4 linked regions of the Caenorhabditis elegans genome follow. The protein of the gene in region 1 purifies or fractionates together with the protein of each later gene. This does not show direct contact. Each region holds a gene or a part of one and is shown in the gene's direction. Other genes may lie near its edges.

What was found.
Region 2: the proteins of srlf-1 (region 1) and marb-1 fractionate together in Caenorhabditis elegans (co-fractionation; one large-scale study listed by BioGRID). This does not show direct contact.
Region 3: the proteins of srlf-1 (region 1) and ZC443.2 fractionate together in Caenorhabditis elegans (co-fractionation; one large-scale study listed by BioGRID). This does not show direct contact.
Region 4: the proteins of srlf-1 (region 1) and F09E5.3 fractionate together in Caenorhabditis elegans (co-fractionation; one large-scale study listed by BioGRID). This does not show direct contact.

The regions. Positions count from the first base shown.
Region 1 is NC_003280.10:7,788,981-7,791,875, forward strand, and holds srlf-1 (SXP/RAL-2 family protein Ani s 5-like cation-binding domain-containing protein), read left to right. Parts: upstream 1-1,611; 5' UTR 1,612-1,651; coding exon 1,652-1,972; intron 1,973-2,131; coding exon 2,132-2,266; 3' UTR 2,267-2,395; downstream 2,396-2,895.
Region 2 is NC_003282.8:12,207,593-12,210,928, reverse strand, and holds marb-1 (Isochorismatase domain-containing protein 1), read left to right. Parts: upstream 1-1,918; 5' UTR 1,919-1,921; coding exon 1,922-2,001; intron 2,002-2,058; coding exon 2,059-2,236; intron 2,237-2,287; coding exon 2,288-2,629; 3' UTR 2,630-2,741; downstream 2,742-3,336. Other genes in the region: F35G2.3 (uncharacterized protein), read right to left, coding at 192-341, 388-672, 1,135-1,221.
Region 3 is NC_003283.11:12,809,638-12,813,029, reverse strand, and holds ZC443.2 (uncharacterized protein), read left to right. Parts: upstream 1-1,837; 5' UTR 1,838-1,871; coding exon 1,872-2,171; intron 2,172-2,290; exon of another isoform or gene 2,291-2,417; coding exon 2,418-2,678; 3' UTR 2,679-2,818; downstream 2,819-3,392. Other genes in the region: ZC443.3 (Glutamic acid-rich protein-like), read left to right, coding at 1-153, 280-438; ZC443.1 (NADP-dependent oxidoreductase domain-containing protein), read left to right, coding at 2,972-3,046.
Region 4 is NC_003280.10:5,372,444-5,375,728, forward strand, and holds F09E5.3 (Putative deoxyribose-phosphate aldolase), read left to right. Parts: upstream 1-1,553; 5' UTR 1,554-1,560; coding exon 1,561-1,722; intron 1,723-1,782; coding exon 1,783-2,448; intron 2,449-2,494; coding exon 2,495-2,578; 3' UTR 2,579-2,722; downstream 2,723-3,285. Other genes in the region: agt-2 (AlkylGuanine DNA alkylTransferase), read right to left, coding at 49-269, 322-595, 641-770, 826-903; algn-2 (Alpha-1,3/1,6-mannosyltransferase ALG2), read left to right, coding at 2,825-2,984. UniProt on the Caenorhabditis elegans protein: Catalyzes a reversible aldol reaction between acetaldehyde and D-glyceraldehyde 3-phosphate to generate 2-deoxy-D-ribose 5-phosphate.

The DNA.
Region 1 (2,895 bases):
ACTCTCAGATTTAATTTCATTGGTTTTCGGTCGGTATATGGGAAAACGTAGTTTGAGGTTATATTCTGTTAGATAGGTCAGCGAAAAGATTTATGTCGCCTATAAAGAAATGGTCCGTTTGTACATATTTGGCACATCAACTGAACAAAGAAACAATGACGTTTACATGTTTATGGATGACCACGTCATAAAACTAGAGATAATATCTGAATGAAGGAAAGTGTAGGTTTCCGAGGGCATATACAATGTTAAAGGATAAATAATGAAATTGTGTTTTGAATAGTAGTCTAACTCACGAAAATTCTCAAGAAAAATAGATCATAACAAAACGTTCTAATTAGAATTACGTTTTGGTAGATACATAAGTCTAGAGCTGTACAGATCAAGCTGGTTGTCAGAAATTCGATTCATTTTCAGTTTAAACTTAATTGTTCGATACACCTTCTGACCATCTTTCCATTCTGACTTGTAGCATTTAAAGATATGTTTCGATCATTGGAACAAATCAGAAGTTGTCATTGAAACCACAGAATGTTGGTGCTTGACAAAATGAAGAAGTCAAGAAAAGGAGGAACCGACAGTTTTATTTCCATATCAGGAAGTGATCGAAGGATATAAAATGGGATCGACTGAAGGCAGAAACAGGAAAGAAAACGGATTGGTACTACGATTTTAGATGGAAAAACCTCGAAGATGATACACATAAAACGGATAATAAAATATACTGAAAAGAGAAAAATGAGTTCAAGGCTACACAAACAACACCTTTTGTTTCAAATTTTACCTTATTTCATTTCTATGATAAGCTTAAAAAGATGAATGATGTCATTGAGGAAAGTGTTAAAATGAGACGAGAAAGATGTAAAGATAGATCTTCGTATTGATAGATACCGACAAAAGGTCAGACGTTTCATATTGATGATGGTTAGGGAAAAGGAAATGAAGAATAATGATAAAATCATTTAAAAAAAGCAAAAGGCCGGTAAATCGACTGAAAAACACTAGGTTTTGAAAAAGTTGGGAAAATTTTCCATGCAATAGTTCTAGAGTACTTTTTCGCAAGTCATTTCACTTGTTGGGAAAGGAGTTTTAATTTCGAATCGAGACAACTAAAAAATATTTTTTTTAACTTTTGTATTTTGTAGAGTGAAATATTTGATCACACTCCAAGAGTAGTTACTATTTCCGAGCCTTTCATTTTTCACGAAATCCAGATATTTGATATGTGACTTTCAACACAACAGTTCAGTTACAAGAAGACAGAATGAAAATCGAATCTGTAACGGAATTTTAAAAAATCATGAGAACCTCTGTCCGCGTTCTATCTCAATGACGTCTTTCTTAACTTCTGTTCCAATATTCTAAATTTATTCGTCACTACGGCTTCTTTATTGTGTTGAAAAAGTTTCAAATTCAGCGATTTTCCATCGGAAAACTGGTCAACTTCAGCGAACACACTGTATCTCTCTATGTCTCCATACTGTCTCATCTATGATCTACGTGTGGGAGGAGCGAAAGGGCGGCACAGAGAGAGAGATAGAGATAGAGAGGGAGAGAGAAATGACTATGAGCGTCGATTGTATAAAAGAAACTATTTCTGCTGGACATCCCTCATCAGTCGTCTTCTAATACTCTTTCTGATTCACTTAAAATGTGCCGTCTTGCCGTTTTTGCTCTTCTCGCCGTCGCCGCTGTGTCTGTCTACGGACAACCAGCCGGAGGTCAAGATGTTCCACCATTCCTTCGTAATGCCACTCCAGCTCAACTTCAGAGCTTCCAACAGCTCATTCAAGCCAACGGTCATTTGACTGAGACCGCTCTTGACGGAAAGGTCCAAGCCTGGGTTAACCAACAAGGAGGAAAGGTTGCTGCTGACTGGGCTGACTTCCAAAAATTCATCAAGGGACAACAGGGACAAGCTGAGGCTGCTCATCAAGCCGCTGTTTCCAACTTCTCTCCAGCTGCCAAGAAAGTAAGATAATGTGGATAAACCAACTAGATTAAGCCATATATTACGTAAAAGTAAAATCAGATAAACTAGTCGGATTTGTACTAGCACTGCAAATACTACATCTACTAGTTTTCGGAATAAAACCAAAGTATCAATTTTAATCTTTTCAATTTCTTTCAGGCCGATGCTGACCTTACCGCCATCTCCAATGACAGCTCCCTCTCTGTTCAAGCCAAGGGACAAAAGATCCAAGCCTACCTCAACTCCCTCCCAGCTAACGTCAAGGCTGAGCTCGAGAAGGCCCAAGGACAATAAGTGCTGATCAACCAAAGAACCTCTCAATTTTTTTTTGTAAATACCCTCACTCATTCTCTCGTTCTCATTCGATTGATTCCCTTTTTGCCCAAATGAGCTCTAATTCTAATAAAAATCGTGATGCTCTTCAAATTTCAATTGAAACTAGCAAACATATAAAAACTAGAATATTCAGTATAGGCATGTGTATCTATGTTTAGATTGGATGTACACTTTTTATGAATGACTGAGCGGTAAAGTTGACACAAACCTGTTTGTTTGCGCATACTAGTACTTAGGATATTGTGTAGAAAAAGTGCTCAAGTTCAGTTTTTTGAACATTGAAACTGAAAATTTTTAAATCGTAGTAAACTGGACACTGTCAAATAAAAATATTTCATGGTATGAACAAAATAAAGCTTTTAGAGATAAAAAACACGGCTTCATAACTATTGTTTTAAAGTTTTCAAATGATCGATTCTACTTCCAAAAACATATTATTTTCTCTACTCCGTGATATTCTCCATATGAAGAAAAGTACGAGAGACTATCACTTTAAGTTCAAGGTCTCACAATCTCTGATTTGTGATGACCCTTTTCTCTTCTTTTTTCAATCAAACTTAATTTGTTTCCCAATTGTGTTCCAGACT
Region 2 (3,336 bases), on another chromosome or scaffold:
AAAATCCTGTGAAAAAATCACGGTTGTGGCTTGGATTAAAAATGATTCGATTCAAATCAGCATAAATATCTCCCTACGTGCCTGCCTGCCAACAACTCTAACAAACATGTAATTGTACCTGATACATACAGTTTTTCCTTGCCATACTTTATTAAGTTAATCAAAAATTATTTCAAAATTATATGGACAAATTAAATATTATTAACTTTAAAAAGACTTTTAATTTTATTATTTTCCTTATTTTCTTCTTCACTTCCTTGCAACGCACTCTTTAAGTCATTCTGGAAATTTGTTTTGTTGAACTCGATCTCGAATTTAAGCAGTTCAATCATTTCGTTTTTCTGAAATTATAGTTTTAAAATTTAATTCCATGTAAGAAATCCGAACCTCTTTAATAATCTTTCTGGCTTGTACCAAATCATCAACCAACTCATTTGCATCTTCCTCCGCAAATTCCAATGATTCCAGTTTTTGGCTCAATTCCTTTATCACCTCGTTTCGCTCTTTCAGTTTTCTCTGAAGTCCACCAATTTTTGCCACAAAATCTCTTTGATGCATTCGAATTTTGATTAAATGATTGCTGATTTTACTTCTCTCTATTTTCATCTCCTTCTGGTGCTCTTTAATCATTTCCTCACTAGACTCGCACATTAATTTTAGTTGGTAATGAGCCTGCAAACGTTGTATATAAAAAAGAATGTCAAGATGCCTGCCTACATGCCTGCCTACCACCTAGCTCTATACATTTTGGCATGCATTCAGGAATTTAGTGAACCTCTAGAAAGTAAAACTGGGAAAATTTCCAAAGAAAATTTAGTTAATTTTCACCAAATTTTCGAAAGTTTTTTTTTTTAAAGTCAAACATTTTCCAATAAAATATTTCGCATTTTTTTCAAAAAAAACACATTTTCCCAAAAAAAATTCGATCCGTTCTACTGTCTATTTTAAAATTTAATAAATCTTCTCAGCTTTAAACACCTCTTAATTTTTTATGAGGGGCTCCAATAAATAGCTTGAGGGGAACACGATTATTGGAATTTACTTTTGAAATTGAGAAATTTTCAGACTCTCGAGAATTTCATTGATAATGCTAATAAAATATTCAAAAATATAAAAAAAAACAACAAAATTTACCTTTGCCTTTTCCTCAACTATTTGCAACATTAACAGAGCTACAGTAACCGCGTACAGTAACCCGAATAGAATCGGGAAATTATCCATTGAAAGTGTCATATTCCCGTCTTGAAAGATATTAGTTAACCACGACATTATAAAATAAAAAGATTGTCTTATAAGATAAGTAACAAACGAATGAATGAGCCGGTCGTCTTAGTCAACGGGTCAAGTGTTTCAGCCGCGTTCGTGAATCAATAAGAGCTGGAATTGCCTCCTGGCATTAGTGACTGTAGTCCACACTTTCTACTGCCTAAATTATCCATACAGGGCAATGTGATCAATTGATCAATAGGTTATTAAATATAACTATTTTATGCAGTGCAGTGTTTCATCCTTTTGGGAAAATTCACGGAATCAACAGGTGAATTTATGTTTTTTAGGGTGTGAACACAAATTGTTAATGTTATAATTGTCCTGGAGAGCCTTTAAACATTTTACAATTAATATATTATAAATAATACGTAGAAAATCAGTATTTGAACAGGAAAGTAGACATTTTAAAAATTTGAAATTTGAAAAACCGCCACAAACTCAAGCAACGACACTCCGAGATTACGAATCGCGCGTTGTTTACCGTAAATTTACACTAATTTTTGTTCTCTGAAATTTTTTTTTAATTGAAAAGCCGTCCATTTATTTATCTTTTTTTGTCAAATCCTTGTGTTTTACGTGGATGTTTGCATTTGTTTTTTATTTATTTAATTTCGAATCACTCAACTTTTTATTGATTTCTGTTCCTCAGGTGATGGCTGCGCGTAAGCTGATCGCACGTATCAACCCAACGAACAGTGCTCTTTTCGTCTGTGATCTTCAAGAGAAGTTCGCGTAAGTTTTGAAAGAAACTAGTTTATGAGCAAAAATAATTTATTTAATTATTTTCAGGTCAAATATCAAATACTTCCCAGAAATCATTACAACTTCGCGTAGATTGATCGATGCTGCCAGAATCCTGAGTATTCCAACCATTGTTACTGAACAATATCCAAAGGGTCTCGGACACACAGTTCCAACTCTCAAAGAAGGTCTCGCCGAGAATACTCCGATCTTTGATAAGACGAAAGTAGATTTTCAGATTTTTGTTCATAATTCAGTCTTATTCCAAAAATTTCAGTTTTCCATGTGCATTCCTCCAACTGAAGACACTTTGAAGAAAGTTCAAAATGTGATCCTTGTCGGAATCGAAGCACACGTATGCGTTCTTCAAACTACATACGATCTTTTGGAACGTGGCTTGAACGTTCATGTCGTGGTGGACGCTGTCAGCAGCCGCAGTCACACTGATCGTCATTTCGCTTTCAAACAGATGGAACAAGCTGGAGCTATCTTGACAACTTCTGAAGCTACCATTCTCGGACTTGTCGGTGGATCGGATCATCCAAAGTTCAAGGAAGTTCAGAAGTTGATCCTTACTTCAGCCCCTGATACTGGCCTCGTCCCGTTGTCGAAGCTCTAAATGTTTTCCGTTTACGGCTTCTTTTTTTGCCATGTAGATTTGTGTTTAGTACCTCACTATGTGTAATTACAGCATTTAACCGGTTTTCGTCCCATAAATTATGGTGGTAATTTGAGTCTTTTTGCAAAACGTTTCTTTCATCGCATCTCCTTGCCACCGTTTGACCATCACATCATGTTTCAAAAGTGTGGGTAAACATTCCGAAATTCGCGGAAACGAAATGCGCTTTGAAAATTTCAAGTGGCTCACACAGTAGAGCCCGCTAGTCCATTGACCTCCAATGTTTGTAGTTTGCGAAAATGATGGTGACGATGGTGCAAAGAAAACTTTCAGTTTTTTTTTTCAGAAAAGTCAGGTTTGTACAACACACATGCCACCACGTGGCAATGAAAAAGGCAGAGGCAACAAATAAATTGGAAGCAGAGACAATAAAATGGGTGGGTGATCTGATCTGTTGTGACGAACAAAATGATGATGATTGGATTCGCGAGCTGTTGATGAAATATGCAGAAATGAATCGAGAAAAAGAGAAGAAAAATACCCAAATATTCAAACAGACAGACGAAAAAAATGTTTTCCTGATTCGAGGAACGTGTTTTCTAAGTGGAACGACGGCAAAATATGGGTTGGTCAGAACGAGAGAATGAAGAAGCACAAAGTGAATATAGTATGGGTGATGTGGAAGGGGGTATGCAAAATTGGAGAGA
Region 3 (3,392 bases), on another chromosome or scaffold:
GCTAAATCTGTAACTGTGAAAAAGGATAAAACTGAAAAATCTGAAAACCTTAAATCAGATGTTCCCGAAAAGACGAATGAAGTTACAATTGCAGCATCTCTTTTAGAAGATGTTATGGAGCAACTGAACTTGGATGACAAGAAGAACACAAAAGTAAGTTCTAGCTTAAAGTTTGATTTGTGCAAAATAATAATAAATAAAATGGTTCTCTCGTTATTTCTAATTAATTGTTGGGAAGCAAATTGTTCACTCGTAAAGTTTCAACAAAACTATTTTTAGGCTGCGTCACAATCGAAAATTGTGGACGATGCGAGTGATTCCGATAGTCATGAAGAATTCGACAAATGTGATCAGGATTCAGACGATGGAAGTGACATTGAAGAGTTGGAGAAAATCGAGGACAAGGACGTTGATGCTCTAGAATATGAAATGCTATAGGTGCCAAGTATCTTGCTTTTCTGCCAACGGGTACTTGTGCACTCTGTAACGTGTTTCTTGCTTCAAATTTCTCATTAACATTCTTCCGAATTTTTTCATTTTCAAAATTGTTCAATAATGCCAAAGAACCGTTTGTTTTTCTTTAGTTATTAAATTGAACAAACTGTAACTAAATGTTTTTAACATTCTTATTTGTACATAGAAATGTAACTTCTCTAATTGTTTCATATGTATTCATGTTTCAAGTATTCATTTTTCCTCAACTCCTTATATGAATTTTTGTATAAAATGTAAAAACATCCGGATTTTTCACAATTACCATCCCACCACTGCATAATAATTCTAGATGCCTGCTTGCGCATCATGGCGTCAACAAAACAAAAATGCGTTGTTGTGTTATTTGTTGACAATGACCGGTTTGTAGTAGTGATGGCAGTGGGTGCCACTGCTTTAAGCTTTTCCTTCAAGAGAAAGTGAGTAGACAGGAAAAAAAAGTGAGAAAAATAATAATAGGCTTGATTGAAATTTCTTGTCTGTTCTCATTTTCTTGCGCATGGGTAATGCGTGATACTGAAGCTCGTTAGCATTGTAGAAAACCGAAGAGGGACTTCAAGCTTGAAAGAGGGAAAGTTTTGAAGAGGTGGAAAAATGTGAAAATTGATATAGAAAATCATGAGTTCACGGTGTCAAGTTTCCAATAGAAGGTACAAATAATAGAGCAAGACCAGCACTAAATTTCAGGATAAACACTTTGTTAAAATCTCGCATATTCTAGCTTTAACTAAGTTCAACTAAAAATAGTATTGTTGAGTTTAATTTTAAAATATTTTCGCAAGTTGCGTCCTTGTGGAAGGCTTACTGTACGTATTATGAAGGTACCCACTAGGATGATCCAGTACGGAAGTAAGTCGTAAAGATTTTACCAAACGATTTTTCATAAAGTACGAATTTTTCATAAAGTCTTGTAATTCATAATCGAGGTCACATTGTTGTGGGAAAACCATGCGCTTCACCCACTGACCACCTGATTTCAATAAAAGCTTCTAATATTTCTCTTATCATTTGCTCCAAGCACTCTAGCAGAGCATCATGACGTGTTGTTTTGTTCAATTCTTTTTCTGCATCCTTTACAAAATCAAATCAAAAACAAGCGGGGAAGTGTACGGGGGGTGTGTGCAAATTATAACTCACAAGATGCTTGAGGTGGTCCACTCGTTGCCTCCTTGTTTGTATGTGTGTAGTGTTCCTCATCCTATTTCTCGTTCTCTTTCATTTTGTCTGCTTCTCTACAGCTTTTGTCCATTTATTCTTTTGCATACGATTGGCTTTTCATTTACTTTTTGCATACTTACTACATTTATCCATCTCTTTCATAATAATAACAATAATAATATTTCCAGGGACACTTCCTAACTAACCTGCTTATCTTCAAAATGTTCGAAAAAGTAATCAAACTATGGAGAGATACATTCCCAAAATCGGAGCACAAATTGATGTCAATTGAGTATGTCGCTGCGATTGAAGAATTCAATGAGTATTTCCCTGGATATGCTGCAATGAATGATAGTAACTATTCAAAACTTCAGCATTTCTTCCGTTCTCTTCACCCAATTGGATGTATTAAACCTTTCCGATTTCATTATTCATCGGCATTTGCATTGGAAAACTCATTAGATGACTATCTTCTAAAAAATGCTCAATTCAAAAGAGACGGCTTAGCTGGAGAATGGGCGGTGAGTTTCTAGAATTGTTTTAAATAAAGATGTCAAAATCTTGAACACGTTTGGCATTATTGTCTTAAATTTGAAATTAAATTCCAGTCTGAAAATTTTGAAAGTTTGGTTGGCATATATCAAATGTAGGTTTATTTTGTTAAAATGTACAATGAACTCACAAAAACATCAAATTAACTTTTTAATCCTGTTAGGAAACAACATACACCAAATTCTCTACAATTGAAAAAAAAATCGAATTTTTAGATTCACATCTTTGCCGACCACAACGACCATATTATTGAAAAATACCGAATGTACAAGAAGAAACGACTTGAGAAACTGGAACGAACTTTTGAGGAAAGAAAAAAGAAAGCAGAGAGAATGAATCAAAAGCATGAATATCGCTTGATGTGGTATTTAGGGAAGGAAGGATATTACAAATACACCAATTCACGACTGGAGAAGATGGAAAAAGACCGAGAAATTAGAAATAAAAATGGAAAGGAAATGGAACAAGTCACCTAAACTTCTGGTACTTAAAAATGTATTTTGTGTTCTTCCAAGTCGTCATTATTCGTCTACTTCTACCCATTTGACATAATCTTTTCCTCATCATTCCCCTCGTCCATGTTGTTAATTTCAATAAAACGAAGTACAAATTGGAACAGCGCAAACTATTTTCTTTATATATTAAGAGAAACACACACACAGACCACAAATTCAAGGTCTTTCTTCCAGTTTTAATTCGATAATTAGGATTGCGGTTTGTGTATAAATATGAAGTACCCCCAACTATACAAACTTTATTTTCCTTCGAAATGTCATCAAAAGTTCCAATCTTCACTCTGTCTAATGGAGTTCTCATGCCAAGTATTGGTCTTGGTACCTGGCAGGTAACATTTAAAATTAGTTTGAAGTTTAGAATAAATTAACTACCATTAGCAAGGATTTATTCAACACTTGGTTGTAATGTTACTTGAAATTGCCAGTTTTTGTACATTGATATAATTTTTAGGAATTTTATTAAAGTTTCGGATAGCTGTACCCAACAAATTTCAATAATTCAGACAAAAAATGTTTTATCGGAAATATTTAGAAGCAGAGAAGCAAACTAGAAAATAATTTTTTCGCTCAAAAATCTGTATGAGCCAAAGAAAAGAGTCCACTCTATAATTTCTCAAGAATTTGTTGTATTGGTTCAGTTGTTTACAAAATTTTGATATTTTTCGAAACTTAAAA
Region 4 (3,285 bases), 2.4 Mb from region 1:
AGACACTTTTGTATCAGACATCTATCGATTTTTTTAAAAATAACTCACCATCTTTTTTCTTCTTTTCGCCTTTGATTTTTGGCACTTTTGCTGGTTTCGGTGCTTCCTGATGTTTCTGTATCTTCTGTATAATCATCTTTTTTGGTGGGCTCTTTACTTCGGACGTACTCGGACACGAAACAGTTTTGGCACAAATTTTGGGAGACTGTTTCATAGAGATTGGAGGAGGTGCAAACTGGCGGTAGCGTTTTGGAGATGTAGGTGGAAGTCTGAAAAGTTTTTTACTTTGAATTTTAAATTTGAAAAAATCACGAAACTTACCGAGAAGTTGATGGCATTGCGGAGAAATCAAATTTTGCCGGTTTTGTCTCTTGTGGTCTTCTTTTAATATTTTTGTGAAACGTCAGAACGTCTCTAAGCGTAACTTCAGGATTCATAATAGTTGATGATGGTGTAGGACCCTTGGTTTCAATTGGTATTCCTTTGAAAGCCAGTGAATGAGCTTCTTCCTTCACTTCTTGTAGTAAAACTTCATCCATTGGATCATGTTCATGAGATGAGTAAAAGCTTTCGCGTGGTTGTCTTACTGGGTGACCTTAAAAATCAATCAAATACAAATTTTTGTTTAAAAAAATCTTACAAGGTTGTACAACAGGAAGAGGTTGTGTCTGTAATATGCAATTGAAGATTTCTTTGACATTTTTTGCTCTTCCGACATGCATATTTCTCAAAAACACAGAATTTCGATTCCAATCAGATGGTTGTCCTGTCTGAAAATATTGCGAATTTTATTTATCGTAACTAAAAATACAAAAAAAAACTTACTAGGTATTTATAGACGGATTCACGATAGCTTGAAGGTCCTCGACATCGAACAATAAAGAACTCTTCGTCGTTTGCCATACTTGAATTCAGTATTACCAAAATAGAGTAAATCCGGAAAATCTATTGCGAAGATGCGCGCAAAGTGCGTCAGCTGAGTGCCGAAAAGACGTCAGCAGTTGTATATCTCTATTTCTCTATGCTCTCTTCAACTTTCAGTTTTCTCTACAACTTTTACAGTAGGTTTGTGTAGAATAAGATTTTAAAAGTGGTTTATTGTAATTTTGTGACTTTCATAAATGCGCATATTATAAATAATTCTTATTTTTTCAATAAACGACCTTTGAGATGATAAGCGGATCACATATAACTTATCGAATGGCCTCAATCATCAAAATTGTTATCAACTGGAACAAAACGATAAAGAAGAAATTATTTTATCGGTTTGGTCTCACGATTTTTCTTGCCATTTTCGCGAACAAAAAGTATTCTTATTTTCTCTAATTTGAAACAATTATTATTTTTTGATTGTTTCAATGCTGTGAAGTATTTATTATTTCAACAAAAAATTGTTTCTTGTTTCCCACCAAGATAAAAAAGTTGTGCACTTTTCCGTTCTAGTGTTTGCACCAATCTTGCTCGGTGCGCCACGATTTTTATTTTTAATTATATAATTCCTCTTCAACTCCTCGTTTTATTCGAAAAATGTTCTAAAAATATTCAATTTTCAGTCACAAAATGGCGACGATCGTGCCAACACTCTTCTCATTCGTTCGTGACACTTACAAGGGCCGTTTCGACGTGGCCACATTCGAAAGAGAAGTTGGACGCGATTTTGATAATCAGGAGATTGCTCAGGCCATCAGCAAATACGAGCAAGAAGCGAAGAATTTGAGAAATGTAAGATTAATAATTCATAAGCATAATTCTTCTTTGTTTCTATTAAAATGCTTGTTTCAGAAAGACGAAATTCGCAAAGTAATTCAATATATTGATCTAACTACCTTGAATGGTGATGATACTGCGAGCAAAGTTGTTGCATTGGCAAAAAGAGCAATCAATCCAGTCCCAACTGATCCATCAATTCATTGTGGATCCGTTTGCGTCTATCCTCAAAGAATCGCCGATGTCAAGAAATTCCTTGCTTCTTCGAAGTTAAACTCCAATATCACTTCAGTAGCCGGAGGATTTCCATCTGGACAATATCATTTGAAATCCAAAGTTCTTGAAGTCGAGCTCTCTGTTGCTGATGGAGCTACTGAAATCGATATTGTCATCAGCAGAGCATCAGCATTGGACGAGGATTGGAAAACTGTTCACGATGAGGTTTTGGCATGCAAGAAGGCTTGTGGCTCGGCTCATCTCAAGACTATTTTGGCAACTGGAGAGCTGAAAACCTTGAGCAACGTCTACAGAGCAAGTTGGGCAAGTATTCTCGCTGGATCCGATTTCATCAAGACCTCAACTGGAAAAGAATCTGTGAACGCCACATTGGAAGTTGCTTACGTTATGTGTACTGCCATTAAGCGTTGGCATGAGCTCACTGGAAAGAAGGTTGGATTCAAACCAGCTGGAGGAATCAAAACTGTTGATGAAGCACTCTCTTATGTTGCTCTTGTCAAAGATGTGAGTGTTACTTATTCTAAATACAATTATAAAATTCATTTTTCAGATTCTCGGCGACGAATGGCTCAATCCTCACTTGTTCCGCATCGGAGCTAGCAGTCTTCTTGATGATTGTCTGAAGGGTCTTTAGATCAGTTTTTGTTATCATCTTTTTTTTTTGTTAAGGTTTTCCCTATTCACTTTTTTTTTCGAATTGCCATAGCATCCATGTTACAATAGGTTGTGCCACCCCGAGTTTTACAGAGATTTTAAGGAATGAATAAATAAATTGTTTTATTTTCTAAAAATTAAAAGTTTATATAACATTATGTTTATATTACCATGCTCATATTTTAAAAAAATTGAATACAAGAATTAAAATATTGAATTTGGTAGTATGGTCCGGGTAACCATTCTCCATCCAGATCTAGGCATCGGTGGAGCCGAACGATTGATTGTTGATGCTGCTGTTGGATTACAGGATCGAGGACACTCTGTTCGGATTTTCACGAATCAATATAGTAGATCGCATTGTTTCCAAGAAACTCTAGATTTGGGTGAGTCGTATTGCCTTAATGCAAAATTTCGCGTTTTTTTGTGCCAAAAATACGGTAACTGGTCTTGACACGACAAAGTTGTGTTAAAAGTTATTTGTTTAAATATTTAAAACTCAAAAATTTCAATAAAAACATTCATTTTTCAAAATTCGCAAAAAAAAAATTGAAAAAATTTCCAAATTCGTGTTTTGTTGATATATTTAGATATCACATAAATAAATATATTTTTATCGAAAAACTATAAAAATTGATGAAAATTCCGCGACAACAAAAGTTTGAAATTACAGTACTCATTAAAATT